Cricetulus griseus: one gene and its partner. The protein of the gene in region 1 purifies or fractionates together with the protein of each later gene. This does not show direct contact. Links are inferred from orthologs where the notes say so. Each region holds a gene or a part of one and is shown in the gene's direction. Other genes may lie near its edges.

The links. Proteins that work in one complex are often made in the same cells at the same time.
Region 2: the proteins of Sesn2 (region 1) and Mios purify together in Homo sapiens (affinity purification with western blotting; 5 studies listed by BioGRID and IntAct, with this or other methods). This does not show direct contact. The link is inferred for Cricetulus griseus from reciprocal best matches to the Homo sapiens genes SESN2 and MIOS.

Annotation. Positions count from the first base shown.
Region 1 is NC_048595.1:20,764,417-20,771,590, forward strand, and holds part of Sesn2 (sestrin-2), read left to right. Parts: intron 1-469; coding exon 470-670; intron 671-1,020; coding exon 1,021-1,203; intron 1,204-1,303; coding exon 1,304-1,516; intron 1,517-2,622; coding exon 2,623-2,773; intron 2,774-3,199; coding exon 3,200-3,318; intron 3,319-3,819; coding exon 3,820-4,010; intron 4,011-6,696; coding exon 6,697-6,841; intron 6,842-7,174. UniProt on the Homo sapiens protein: Functions as an intracellular leucine sensor that negatively regulates the mTORC1 signaling pathway through the GATOR complex. In absence of leucine, binds the GATOR subcomplex GATOR2 and prevents mTORC1 signaling.
Region 2 is NW_023276806.1:216,968,175-216,975,348, reverse strand, and holds part of Mios (GATOR complex protein MIOS), read left to right. Parts: coding exon 1-1,190; intron 1,191-1,463; coding exon 1,464-1,562; intron 1,563-4,771; coding exon 4,772-5,026; intron 5,027-6,298; coding exon 6,299-6,468; intron 6,469-7,174. UniProt on the Homo sapiens protein: As a component of the GATOR2 complex, functions as an activator of the amino acid-sensing branch of the mTORC1 signaling pathway. The GATOR2 complex indirectly activates mTORC1 through the inhibition of the GATOR1 subcomplex.

The DNA of each region.
Region 1 (7,174 bases):
AATCCCAGCACTCCCTAGGCAGAGACAGGCAGATCTCTAAGTTCCAGGACAGCCAGAGAGAATCCCTGTCTCAAAACACTTTAAGGAGGGGGCGGGAGCTGAGGACATGGTTTAGTGGTAGGATATTCACCTAACATTCGTGAAGGCATAGGTTTGATCCTCAGCATTGAAAAGAACATTCATTATAAAATTAAAAATAGAGAAAAATTGAACTCTTAATTTCCTAGCTGTTTTGAGGATTGAGTGAGTTAATACATATATGAAGTACTTGGACAGTGACAGACATGTATAATTTACATAAAGTACCTAATAAGTGTTGGTTTAATCAGTTTCCTCTTTTGGACGTGGATGGCAAGTGTTCAGTCTCCTACTATTATAGCTATATAATGCAACTCTATATATTTAAAACAAAAGAGAGGCTGGTCTGTGTGGGGGGCAGAAGGGAACCCATGCTCTCCTCTTTGCCTAGCAGATCCTTCCCGAAGGAGCTGAGAGCCTGGAGCAGCACCTGGGACTCGAGGCTCTGATGTCCTCCGGGCGGGTGGATAATCTGGCGGTAGTGATGGGCCTCCACCCCGACTACCTTAGCAGCTTTTGGCGTCTCCACTATCTGCTGCTGCATACAGACGGGCCCCTGGCCAGCTCTTGGCGTCACTACATTGCCATCATGGTAAGTTTATCCAGGCCTGGGCCTCGCAGGGGTGGCCAAATGGTAGTTCTAGCTTCAGATTCATTTGCTGGGACTCTCCTGAGTTGATTTTTTTTTTTTTTAGGTGAAGAGGAAGTGTTCAGTTTTACCCGATAATGTCCACGGGATTTTAGGTTTTAAAGAGCGGCTCTTTAAGTGTTCTTTACAGATGGGACAACTGAGGTGCAAAGGGGTCAGATGACCAGCAAGCTGGTGGCAGAGCTGAAGTTAGAATATAGATTTTTTTTTTTCTCCCTCTTAGATCTCAGGGGGATCTTTCCAGAATGGGGCACGGAAGGCGGGTAACTCAGGCTTATCACCTCCCTCCATAGGCAGCTGCCCGCCACCAGTGTTCTTACCTGGTGGGCTCCCACATGACCGAGTTCCTGCAGACTGGTGGTGACCCGGAGTGGCTGCTGGGCCTCCACCGGGCACCTGAAAAGCTTCGCAAACTCAGTGAGATCAACAAGTTGCTGGCACATCGGCCGTGGCTCATCACCAAGGAGCATATCCAGGTATGATAGGCGGAAGGTTGGCTCCTTGAGGAAGCCTGGGGGCTGGGCTGGAGTCGCTCAGGGGCAGCCACTAAGTGGGTTAGCGCTCTCTCCCTTCCAGGCCTTACTGAAGACTGGAGAGCACAGCTGGTCCCTGGCTGAACTCATCCAAGCTCTGGTCCTGCTCACACACTGCCACTCCCTGGCCTCCTTCGTGTTTGGCTGTGGAATACTTCCTGAAGGAGACGCAGAGGGAAGTCCTGCCTCACAGGCACCCTCGCCCCCCAGTGAGCACGGAAGTCCCCCAAGTGGAGACCCATTGAACAACTCTGGGGTAAGTCGTGATCCTGGATCTTGCTTTCGTGTGGGAGAAAGCTGGTGCGGCCTCTGCCCTGGGAATAGAAACCATGGCTTTCCAGTCTCTTCACAGTGAGAGGCTACAGCAAAATTGCTTGGCTTTAAACTCTGGTTTGTTTGTTTTGTTGTTGGGTTTTTTGTTTTGTTTTTCGAGACAGGGTTTCTCTATGGCTTTGGAGGCTGTCCTGGAACTAGCTCTTGTAGACCAGGCTGGTCTTGAACTCACAGAGATCCACCTGCCTCTGCCTCCTGAGTGCTGGGATTGAAGGTGTAGGACACCACCTCTTGGCACCAGCTGATTTTTGTTGTTGTTTGTGGATGTTTTTGGTTTTATTGTTATTTTTGAGGCAGGGTCTTACTCTGTAGCCCAGGCTAGCCTCAAACTCATCGTGATCTCCTATATCCCCATCTTCTCAATGTGCTAGGATTAGAGAAGTGAGCCACCATGTCTGACATTTTTTGTCCCGTTGACTATACAAAATGTAGGCGTTGGTATAGCTCAGTGGTGACTGCCTAGTCTGTGTGAGTTCAATCAGCAACAGGACCAAAAACCAAACAACAGGGGGTGGAGAGATGGCTCAGTGGTTAACAGCACTGGCTGCTGGGCTGTGGTGTTGCACGCCTTTAATCCCAGCACTCGAGAGGCAGAGGCAGGTGGATCTCTGTGAGTTCCAGGCCAGCCTGGTCTACAGAGTGAGGTCCAAGACAGTCAGGGCTGTTTCACAGAGAAACCCTGTCTCAAAAAACAAAAACCACCAATCAACAGAAACTCCCATAATCCCAGAACTGAGGAGGCAGAGGCAGACGATCTCTGAGTTGAAGGCCAGCCTGATCTACATCCTCAGTTCCAGCACAGGTAGGGCTACACAGTGAATAACACCCTGTCTCAAAAAACAAACAAAACCAACCCCTGTGGAAGACTCACAGAGTATGTGCTGCCCTGTGTGTGGTAGCTGGCTCAGAAACACCCTAGTTCTTTCTGATCACTCAGGAAGGCCTAGAATGTATCAAATCTGAGTGGAGCTTTCCAGAGGACCGTGAAGGGAGGAGGACAAGATGGTAATTCCTGGGTTCTTCCTACAGGGCTTCGAAGCCGCCCGTGATGTAGAAGCCTTGATGGAACGCATGAGGCAGCTGCAGGAGAGCCTGCTGCGAGATGAGGGAGCTTCCCAGGAGGAAATGGAGAACCGTTTTGAGCTGGAGAAATCAGAAAGTCTGCTGGTAACCCCCTCAGGTACAGGATCACAGATGTCTGTGCTAGGGACTGCCTCTCTCCCTACCCTTCTGATGGGAGCAGACACCTCCATGCACCATGCCTTCCTTCCAAGAGGCTCTGCATGGCCTTGTGTTCAGATCTGCCTTTGAGTCCTGGTCTGTTAGCCCTTCAGGGTTAGTGTTGGGTAGATGGAGCCAAGCTTAGAGCCTTTCCCAGGTTGAGCCATGCTATAGAACTACCACTATTACTGTTACAGGGCGCCTTGCCTTCCTGGTTCTTGGGCAGGAGTCTCCTCCTCCCCAGGAGTGGCTCTAACTAAAGTCTTCCCCACTTGGTGTGGGGAGAGGCTCTCTGTGGTCCCCTACTGTTGCTCCCCTTACCTCTCTGATGACGTGGAGCTCTAGGCTCAGCTTCTCTGACTCCTCTTTCTGCTATGGCCCTCAGCGGATATCCTGGAGACCTCTCCACACCCAGACATTCTATGCTTTGTGGAAGACCCCACATTTGGGTATGAAGACTTCACTCGTCGAGGGACTCAGGCCCCGCCTACCTTCCGAGCCCAGGTGAGGCTCCCTGCACTAGTGGTGTTCATTTCCTTAGATTTGCATATAAGCAGAGGCAAGTGCTTGCAATGGTTCTAAAGTTGGATACCTTCTCCCCACAAAAACCCATGAGTGTGCCAGGCAGTGATGGCGCACTCCTCTAATCGCAGGACTGGGAGGCAGACGCAGGTGGATCTCTGTGAGTTCGAGACCACCCTGGTCTACGAGCTAGTTTCAGGACAGCCAGGGCTATACAGAGAAACCCTGTCTCAAAAACAAAACAAAACAAAACAAAAACCCATAAGGGCAGTGAAGACCTAAGAGATCCCAATCCAGGGGAAAAGTCATCATCCTGGTTCACCTGCTTGGTCTCTCAGGTCCGTCCATAGCGTATCAGATTGTGGTGTAGGGAGGGTATGTTATGCAAAGCAAGGTGTGAATTCTAGCGTTCCAGAGGACAGATCTCTGGTCAGCCTTGGGTTTCCCAAGTCTTGCTCCCTGACCTCTTCCCTTATTCCTCAGGATTATACCTGGGAAGACCATGGCTACTCACTGATCCAGCGGCTCTACCCTGAGGGAGGACAGCTGCTGGATGAGAAGTTTCAGGTAGCCTACAGCCTCACCTATAACACCATCGCCATGCACAGTGGTGTGGACACCTCCATGCTCCGAAGGGCCATCTGGAACTACATCCACTGTGTCTTTGGCATCAGGTGAGCAAGTGCTCTCCAGGTTCAGGTCATGTGTATGCCATCAATCTTTCTTGAGCATACTGTCACTTTTAGTTTTTCTTTTCTTCTTGCCTATAGTAATCTTTCAAGGCAATTTATGTCTTTGCAGGTTTAAAGCTAATAAGCCTCTTTAAGCACTCTCCCAGAGATAACTGGGCTTTGCTTTGTTTGGCTTGTAATACAAAGAATTGAACCTAAGACCTTGTGCATGCTAGGCACTTTATGTTGTTTTATGTCATTTTACTTATTTATTTTTGATGTTTGGAAGCAGGGTATAACACAGACTAGCCTAGAACTTGTATGCTTCAGGTCAGGCTTGAGCTCTTGACACTCCTGCTGCCTTAGCTTCTAGGTGCTGGGGCTTAAAGGCCTGCTCGACCAAAGCACTTTAGCTATGGGTTCATGTGTGTTTGTATTGTGCACTCTACACAAATACAAACATCAAATGTACACACTACATAGACACATATTTTTTTGGTTTTTCAAGACAGGGCTTCTCTGTGTAACAGTCCTAGCTGTCCTAGAACTTACTCTGTAGACCAGGCTGGCCTCAAACTCACAGAGATCCACCTACCTCTGCCTCCCGAGTGCTGGGATTAAAGGCGTGCTCCACCACCATCCTGCTATAGACTCGTGTTTAAATTTCCAAATAGCACATCTTTTCCTGTAGTCAGTAAGGACAACACAGATACCCATCAGCAACAGACTTGAAATAATGATGTTTCCATTGTAACCTGTTATGCAGCTCATGAAAATTATGACCAGGAGTCAGGCATGTGGGAGGTTACCCACCAAAATATTAAGTCTGGTCATCTCTGTACAATATAGTACAGTGATTTATATAGTTTTATCTTGTTAAATCTTTTCTAGTTAAAAAAGTTTTATTTATTTTTATGTATGTGTATACATTCTCATGTGGGACACAACTTGCTGGAGTCGTTTCTCTCCTTCCACTGTATGGGGCAGAGGGACCAAACCGGGATCACTACTCTAGATGGCAAGCTCCTTTACTCACTGAGCCATATTGTCTGTCCACTGACTGGTGGTTTTGTTGTTGTTGTTGTCTATTTGTTATTTGTTTGTTTGTTTGTTTGTTTAGGAAAATTTTTTATTAAGTGATGTTATATGAGTATTTAGGTTGTTTGCAGGGTTGTTTCTTGTTTTTCTTTTCTATTGTTAGGGTTTTTTTTTCCTAAGTTCCTCCTCTCCCCACCCCCAAGAAGGAGTCTCTGTTGGCTCAAATTTGGGACCCCCTGTTTCTTTGGCCTCCCAGGTGTTGAGATTACAGCCATGTGCTTACCACCCCCGATGGCAGATTTTACTCTTATAAACATTATTCGCACTGACTAGTCTCATACACGAGTTCTCATTGATGAATCCTCGAAATAAAATGGTTTATCTAAGATATATAAAAAACTCTATTTATTCATTTATTTTTAAGGTAGGGTTTCACAACAGTCCAGATTGACCATGAACTCACAGCAGCCTATCTATTTCAGTCTTTCGTGTGCTGGGATAGGCTTTTGCCTTTGAGGGATGGGGGGGTGTTCCTGAGACCAGGTTTTTCTGTGGCTTTCGAGGCTGTCCTGGAACTAGCTCTTGTAGACCAGGCTGGTCTCAAACTCACAGAGATCCGCCTGCCTCTGCCTCCCGAGTGCTGGGACTAAAGGTGTGCGCCACCACCGCCTGCCCCGGCTTTCCTTTCTTTGTTGACTTGTTTTTTACTAATACCTGTAATTCCAGTACTGGGAAGGCAAAAACAGGAGGATCAGTTAGGTGTTCAAGGTCATCCTTCACTATATAACAAGTTCACCAGCTAGACTACAGGACTCTAAAAAATTAAAAAAACAAAAAACAAACAAACAAACAAACCACCAAAACTGCTGGGCAGTGGTGATGCACGCCCCGATTCTAGCACTTGGGAGGCAGAAGCAGGCAGATCTCTGGGAGTTCCAAGGCCCGCCTGGTCTACACAGTCAAAACCTTGTCGCAACAAAAAAAACAAAAACAAAAAAAACAAGAAGACCAAAAAACCCACCAAAATTGTGCAGGAGGTCACCTTATTTTATTGTATTCAGGTGTTTCCTTCCTGGTTTTCCCTATGCACATGCATAACTACACTGAGGAGAGACAAGCGGCTTCTAAACTCATTGCCAACTTGCTGTTGGATTTTGAAGCAGTTAATTGCCTTCTCTAGCTAGACCTTAGCTTGCCTGTCTGGTTTTAGCTGTGTCTCCTTTTTCCCACCACTGCTTCGTTCTCCAGGATCACCACTGACCTTCCTGTCACAGTGAGTGTAGGAGAGCTGGATTTGAAGTCATTCCCTGCTGTGGAGGGAATGCCTTCTTTGAATCTCAGTAAAATGAAATTGATGAACACAGTATATTGAATATGACAGAGTATGTAATTTGTAGGATTGTCACCGGCTCAGTCAGAATTCAATAGTGCGTGCTCATTGTTAGTGTTACTTAGAGTAGTCCTCTGTGAGCCTGGTAACCTATGACGCATGATGTCAGCTGTTTTCCGAGAGGAACCAGGCTTCTGATTGCTTCTTACCTTCTGGCTTTTCTGGCCACTCTCTGTTCCTCCTTCTGTAGGGTGGGGTGAGTGGGCCACTCTGCTTGTGAGATCAGGGCTTGAGTAACGCTGCCCGGGTCTTTTCCATCAGATACGATGACTACGACTATGGGGAGGTAAACCAACTCCTGGAAAGGAACCTCAAAATTTACATCAAGACCGTGGCCTGCTACCCAGAGAAGACAACCCGCAGGATGTACCACCTCTTCTGGAGGCACTTCCGCCACTCAGAGAAGGTAACAGCCATGTGGATGTGAAAAACAGCCAAGCCAGGCCTGTAGAAGAGCTAGAGAGTAGGACCCAGTGAGGATCACAGTGGGAACCTGGGCCTGTTGTCCTTGGTTAAATCCTATTCCACTGTGTGATTTCAGACTTCATTCAAATAAGGCACCTGGGGGCCTGTTCCCACAGACTTTGAGTGGCAGTTTGGCAGGCATAGGTTCAAATCAGTTTCTCTCACATAGGAGCACTGTGCCTTTGGACATGTGACTTTGCGTCTTTGAGCTTTTCCCCTTTATAATGAGAAGAGACACTGCCTGGGCTTCAAAGCTGGGAAGGCACAATGAGAC
Region 2 (7,174 bases), on another chromosome or scaffold:
TTCAGAACTCAAAGCTGGATCATTACGTTTATCTGAAGACTCTGCAGCTACATTACTATCAATAAATTCAGATACACCCTATATGAAATGTATTGCCTGGTATCTCAGTTATGATCCTGAATGTCTCCTAGCCGTTGGACAAGCAAATGGTCGAGTTGTACTTACAAGTCTTGGTCAAGATCATAACTCTAAGTTTAAAGATTTGATAGGAAAAGAATTTGTCCCAAAACACGCTCGACAATGCAATACCCTTGCATGGAATCCTCTGGACAGTAACTGGCTTGCTGCTGGTCTAGACAAGCACAGAGCTGACTTTTCAGTTCTAATATGGGATATCTGCAGCAAATATACTCCTGATATTGTTCCCATGGAAAAAGTGAGACTTTCAGCAGGTGAAGCTGAAACAACATTATTAGTAACAAAACCACTGTATGAGTTGGGGCAAAATGATGCTTGTCTATCTCTTTGTTGGCTTCCAAGAGACCAGAAACTACTTCTTGCTGGCATGCATCGTAACCTAGCCATATTTGATCTTCGGAACACAAGCCAGAAGATGTTTGTAAATACAAAAGCTGTTCAAGGAGTGACAGTAGACCCATACTTCCATGATCGTGTTGCTTCCTTCTATGAAGGTCAGGTTGCAATATGGGATCTGAGAAAATTTGAGAAGCCAGTTTTGACTTTGACTGAGCAACCAAAGCCCTTGACAAAAGTAGCATGGTGCCCAACGAGGACAGGTCTGCTTGCTACTTTAACAAGGGACAGTAATATTATTAGACTGTATGACATGCAGCATACACCCACCCCTATTGGGGATGAAACTGAACCCACAATAATTGAAAGAAGTGTGCAACCTTGTGACAATTACATTGCTTCCTTTGCATGGCATCCAACGAGTCAAAATCGAATGATAGTCATGACTCCCAACCGAACAATGTCTGACTTTACTGTGTTTGAAAGGATATCTCTTGCCTGGAGCCCGATTACGTCTTTAATGTGGGCCTGTGGTCGTCATTTGTATGAATGTGCAGAAGAAGAAAGTGATAATTCCTTAGAAAAAGATATAGCAACAAAAATGCGCCTCCGGGCTTTATCAAGGTATGGGCTTGATACAGAACAGGTATGGAGGAACCACATTCTAGCTGGAAATGAAGACCCACAGCTCAAGTCCCTCTGGTATACTCTGCACTATATCCTTTGTCTTGTTAACATTTTGAGGCAAATTAGGTAAACACAGGAAATGTTTTATGTGCAAACACAAATCATATAATCTAAAATTCTGATGTAAAATTGTTTAAAACTATTGAAAGTTTTAGTTTGTAGACTGGGGGCAGAAAAGGTGGTCAGTAAAGTCAAACTGTGTTACCTGTATAGTCTTAGGAATTTGCTCCTCATTAAAATAATTTTAACTTTGAAATATTTTATTATGCATAATGACCAGTATTTCCTATGCATTTAAATACTTATGAAGCAGTATACAGAAGATATGGATCAAAAATCTCCAGGCAACAAAGGATCATTGGTTTATGCAGGAATTAAATCAATAGTAAAATCATCTTTGGGTAAGAAAATTCCATTTTATATTTTTAAATACATTTTACTTGATCCCTAGTTGGTTAAAACTAAGATTATTTCAGTTCTGTGTATATAAATACCTTTAACCCTCTTGGCTTTCTGATTAGATGTTTTAGTGAGTTGTTAAGTATATTGATTGTATTTATATCCAGATGCTTTACGGAAGCAACTTTGATTCTTTGATGTGACATAGATGTTTCTTTTTTTTTTTTTCTTTTTCTTTTTTTTACATAGATGTTTCTTAAATCTATTCATTTATTATTCTGTGCTATTTATTTGAAGACCCACTTTAAGAGAGGTAGTATACAAGTTCTTTTATAAGATGCTCATTGTTAGTTTGGATTTTATCACAGCATCGTGTGTTTTAAAGACTAAATTAAAAGATCTCTATCTGAAGAAGATCCCTTTGATTTTGCTTCCCAAATACTTTCATAAGGCTATATGACATGAAATATGGCCTAACTTGAAGAAAATACCTGGAAGTCCTTGGTGAGTAAGTGAAGGAGTCAATTAATGGGTTAATAATGTAAGGTTTAAGTTAATAAACTATTTGTAAATAAAAGGCCCCACTCCAAAAAGCACTTTCAACCTAGTTCTTTAAGCAGTTGTTTTTATTCTTTTTATTGAAATTGTGATAATGTTATATTTTCTTTTAACTTAGAATTCAACCTCCACATTTTATAAATCTATTTATACTCCATTGAGTTAAGATGCTAGAAAAATAATTCACACTATTTAGTCAAAACCATAGTGGAAATAATAAATCCATAGGACTTGCTTCACTATGCTACAAGTAACACAGAATGTACAATAACATGGCGTTTTTTTATTTTTTATTTTTTTAGAATAGTTTAACATTTCAGTTAAGCTGCTGCATTTGTTATAGTGGATTTTCTTTTTGAGGACTTTGAAAATACTTTGATGCACAGTGCTGAAAGGTGAATGGACAGCTTCAGATTTGTTTCACTTTGGTGTTTTCCCATTAGAATCACACCAAAAAGAGTAACCTTTATCATTAGAACTAAAATGAGTAAGTCTAATGAGAAACTGCCTTACTTATTAACAGAAGTAAAAAGGCAGCATAATGTGTGATCACCATTTATGAATCTGAATATACCATGACTTGTGAGTTTAAAAACTACTGCCACACAAAGAATTAAGTACTATGTCAATAAAATTTATAGAATTGGGCAATGGACTAAGAGTTCAGAATATAGGAGGAATATAACCATAGAGCAAGCAGTATGTTAGAAATACCTGATATTTTATGGGATAGATGAAATTGTTCAGATTAAGAACCAAAAGCAATGTGTTAACTAGAGAGTGGTGGTGGGATAGGAAAAGCATGGGAGCTATGTATTCATGTAGACAAGGGGACGAAGTCACTTCATGCTTTAGATCCAGTTGGCTGAAACAACTGAACACTGAAGAGAAATCAGCAACTATAAATAATTAAAAACATAGGCTGTATCAGGGAGGATAAAATGGTAACCAGTGCTAGGAGCTAACCTAGAATGGAGGGAGGGCTGTTGTTGCTTTGTTACTGGTTTCAGCATAAGATTAAGCATGTTTAAATGCTGATTGGAAAAAGCCGTGGGTGTGTGTGTGTGGGGGGGGTGTGGGTGGGTGGGTGGGTGGGTGAGCGTGGGCATGCACATGTTGCTGCACACATGGAGAGGACCGGAGACAACTTTTGGCAGTCAGTTGTAGCCATGTGCCTTGCTGAGGGAGGGACCTTCTTACTGTAGATGAACTTCATACTGCGGTCTACCAGCCCACCATGAACTTTCTCCCGTAAGAGTGCTAGGGTTCAGATGCATTCCATCCGGCCTTCTGTGTGAATTCTAGGGGATGGAACTCAGTCATCATGCTTGTAGCTAGGCCTTTACTGCTTAAGCCATGTCTCGCACCCCACTTCCTGTCTTTAATATAGCAGAGGTTGTATAATAAAAGCCTGGCCAGCTTTCCACCCAGCACAATGAAATTTTGTTTATACTTGACAAGTTTAACTTTGATCCAGAGAATTTATGTGTTCAAATTGATTTAAAGGAGCAAAATAGCTAAGATTTTATGGTTGTTTTCTTTTTCTTTTCTTTCTTTCTTTTTTTTAATATTTATTTATTTATTATGTGTGCAGTGTTCTGTCTGCATGTTGCCTGCAGGCCAGAGGAGGGCACCAGATCTCATTACAGATGGTTGTGAGCCACCATGTGGTTGCTGGGAATTGAACTCAGGACTTTTGGAAGAACAAGCAGTGCTCTTAACCACTGAGCCATCTCTCCAGTTTTCTTATAGTGTATTATCAAGTACATATATTTTATACACTATATGTATGTGTGTGACATATACAAATGCATATTATCTGATTGGTGATTTGAGACTTTTTTAAGCTGGCATTTTAATGTTTGAGTATACTTGTTTCCTTTGCAAACATTAATAAAATACTGATTCTATTAATATGGGCAATATCAGATTCAGTGATGAAAAGTTTTTCATTTTTGTATTGCATATAATATGTAGATTTTATTTCTTTCATAGATAAGTTAAAATTTTATAGATATTAAAATTGTAGTGTAATGATCCATTTGAAATTAATGGTGTCACATTTCTTTTTTGATAACCCTAATTACCCACAGCATAGTTGTCAAACTAAGAGAGAATCTCTGAGCAGCCAGAGTTCAATTCATTAAATTAAAAATGTTCTATTTAAAAATAAGTAATGTGGGCATGGAGTTGGGAGAATACTTGCCTAGCTTGCAGGAAGCCACAGGTTTCATCCCCAGCATTGCATAAAACTGAGTGTCAGTGAACTTTAGTTCCAGCTCTTCATTGGAGCTTTTGTTCCAGTGAGAGAACAGACATGAGAATTTATGTTAAATGCTGCCCTGTAGTACATATAGGAAACAAGTGCTGAGTTAGATAACAGCTGTCTATTTTAGATTAGAGGGTTGAAGCAGTGACTCAGCTTAGCGGGCTGAACTGTCATTCTTATAGCAATAGCTTCTTAGTAATTCAACTGTGGTATAAAATGTTTGATTTAAAATTTCAGTATACCGCTTATTTATGCTATTGTAAGGTTATGACTGAGAAGTTGAATATTCTAAATGTTGAATTTTTTTTTTTTGTAAAGCTGGTGTTGCCTAATATATTTTAAAGTATCAATGAACAGCACTCTAAAAACGTTTTCTGTTTTTAGGGATGGTGGAAAGCAGCAGACATAACTGGAGTGGCTTGGACAAACAAACTGACATTCAGAACTTGAATGAAGAGAGGATTTTAGCATTACAGCTCTGTGGGTGGATAAAGAAAGGAACAGATGTAGACGTGGGGCCGTTTTTGAACTCTCTTGTGCAAGAAGGAGAATGGGAAAGAGCTGCTGCTGTGGCTTTGTTCAACTTGGATATTCGGCGAGCGATCCAAATCCTGAATGAAGGGGCATCTTCAGAAAAAGGTAGTAGGTTATGTTGTGAGAATTAGCGGCTCACAGAATCCGCCAACATCTTATACACATTTTTATTGAAAGGGAAAGTATGTCATGCTAAGTGGTGAATATTAGCTAGTCCCATTTATATATGCCTCCAGATAGGACAATAAAAACAAAATGTTCTTTTGGGCGGTTTCAAGACAGGGTTTCTCTGGCTTTGGAACCTATCCTGGAACTAACTCTAGCAGACCAGGCTGCCTCTGCCTCCGAGTGCTGGAATTAAAGGTGTGTGCCATCACTGCCCAGCCATATGCTTTTATTTTAAAAGACTTAAAACTTAATGGAGTAAGCAGAGGAATGAAGCATCAAATATCTTGGAAAACATTTTTGTAAAAGTGAGTAATGAAGCTGATAAGAACAGAAAGTAGGCATGGGTACTGTTTTAATTGGAAAAGCAAGAATGGTTAGAATCAAGAAAGGTAGAAAATTCTTAAGAGAAAAGGAAAAGGGAGACATAGCTTGGACATTTGAAATGAAACTTAGGAAGGCTGTGCAGAACTGAAGAGCAGGTTGGCAGCTTCCTAGCAGCCCTGTGCATCACAGAGCAACTGTTTATACAACTCATTGGTAAAGAATGCTTTGTTGCAAAGACCCCTGAGTGCAGTTTTGTAATAATTCTGATAGCTCATTTTGGCCTAGCAGTTTTTCTAAATGTATTATAATAAAAATACTGAAACGCTTTTTCTCCATTTGACACTTTGTACATAAGTATATATATTATATATTAGAAATAGGAAAATAAGAAAACTTTGAAAATTACAATGGTGGGGTATATTAGTATTTACTGTTAATACTCTGAGATAGCATAGATGGCTTTACTGATAACAGCGGCAGTGATTTTGGTAAGATGGTCTGACTTGTCTCCATTTAGATACCAAGTAGTAATATGCCATATAGGAAATTGCTGGATGAAGAACTAGAAAGGTAATTGTTGTACTGCTGCTGTGGGAGCAGCTCAGTGGTGGAGCAGCCACTGGGATTCTGGCTCATGTCCAGTACTGCACAAGAGAGGCGTTCATTGGGCACGGGATTGCAAGTGTGCATATGCACTGGTTTTAGGAGTGGAGTTTTTCCAATGTACTCTACCAAATTAACAGTCTTAGTTTTTTCTTATTCGGGTGGGCTTCTTTTCTTGGGATAAAAATTCACCCTCTGATCACTGTGTTGAGGATTTCAGAACTGTGGGAAAAGGTTATTAAGTTTCTGATGGCTTGATTACTGTATGTTTTTAACCTCCAGGAGACCTGAATCTCAATGTGGTGGCAATGGCTTTATCCGGCTATACGGATGAGAAGAACTCCCTGTGGAGAGAGATGTGCAGCACACTGCGATTGCAACTCCACAACCCCTATCTGTGTGTCATGTTTGCATTCCTGACGAGTGAAGCAGGAGCTTATGACGGAGTTTTGGTAAGTTGTTTTGTTTCCCAAGATCCTCCTTTGAGTTAGAACAGGTTTGCTTTTGGTAGTTTTCTTCTTTTTAAGATTTGTTTATTTATTACGTATGCAGTATTCTGCCTGCACGTCTCCCAGCAGGCCTTGTAGTTTTCTTAATATGGTTTTTAGCTACAGAGCCAAAACTATTTCATCCTTTACTGAAGGACTGCAGAAATGTACAACTATAAACACATACATGAATTTGCTGTTGAAATTGTGCGTGTGTGTGTGTGTGTGTGTGTGTGTGTGTGTGTGTGTGTGTGTGTGTGTGTGTATGTGTATGTGTGTAGACAACTGATGACCAGTTGTTTTGGTTAAAGTGTCCATATATCTCAAGTTAATGTTTGTCATTTTCAGACAAGTTTTGTTTGGAAAACAAATTATATAGTCATACTACTTATAATAAACTACATTTTATTTAGTCTTCAGTTATTTTAGTCACTTGTGTAACCACATCATTTCTTCCTTGTCATGAAGTGAGGTTTCTTTACCCATTTTAGCTGTTAGTCACAAGCTTTACATAAAACTTCTTTGCTTTGTACTGTTTTCTTTCCAGCAATGAAAAGAACTTTCTATATTAAGATTTATTCCTCTGTTTGATGTTAGAGCATTTCTTACAAAATATGCATTGCTTCAGTAATTGTCAATTTATAAGATTTGTAAAAATGTGTATTTTATT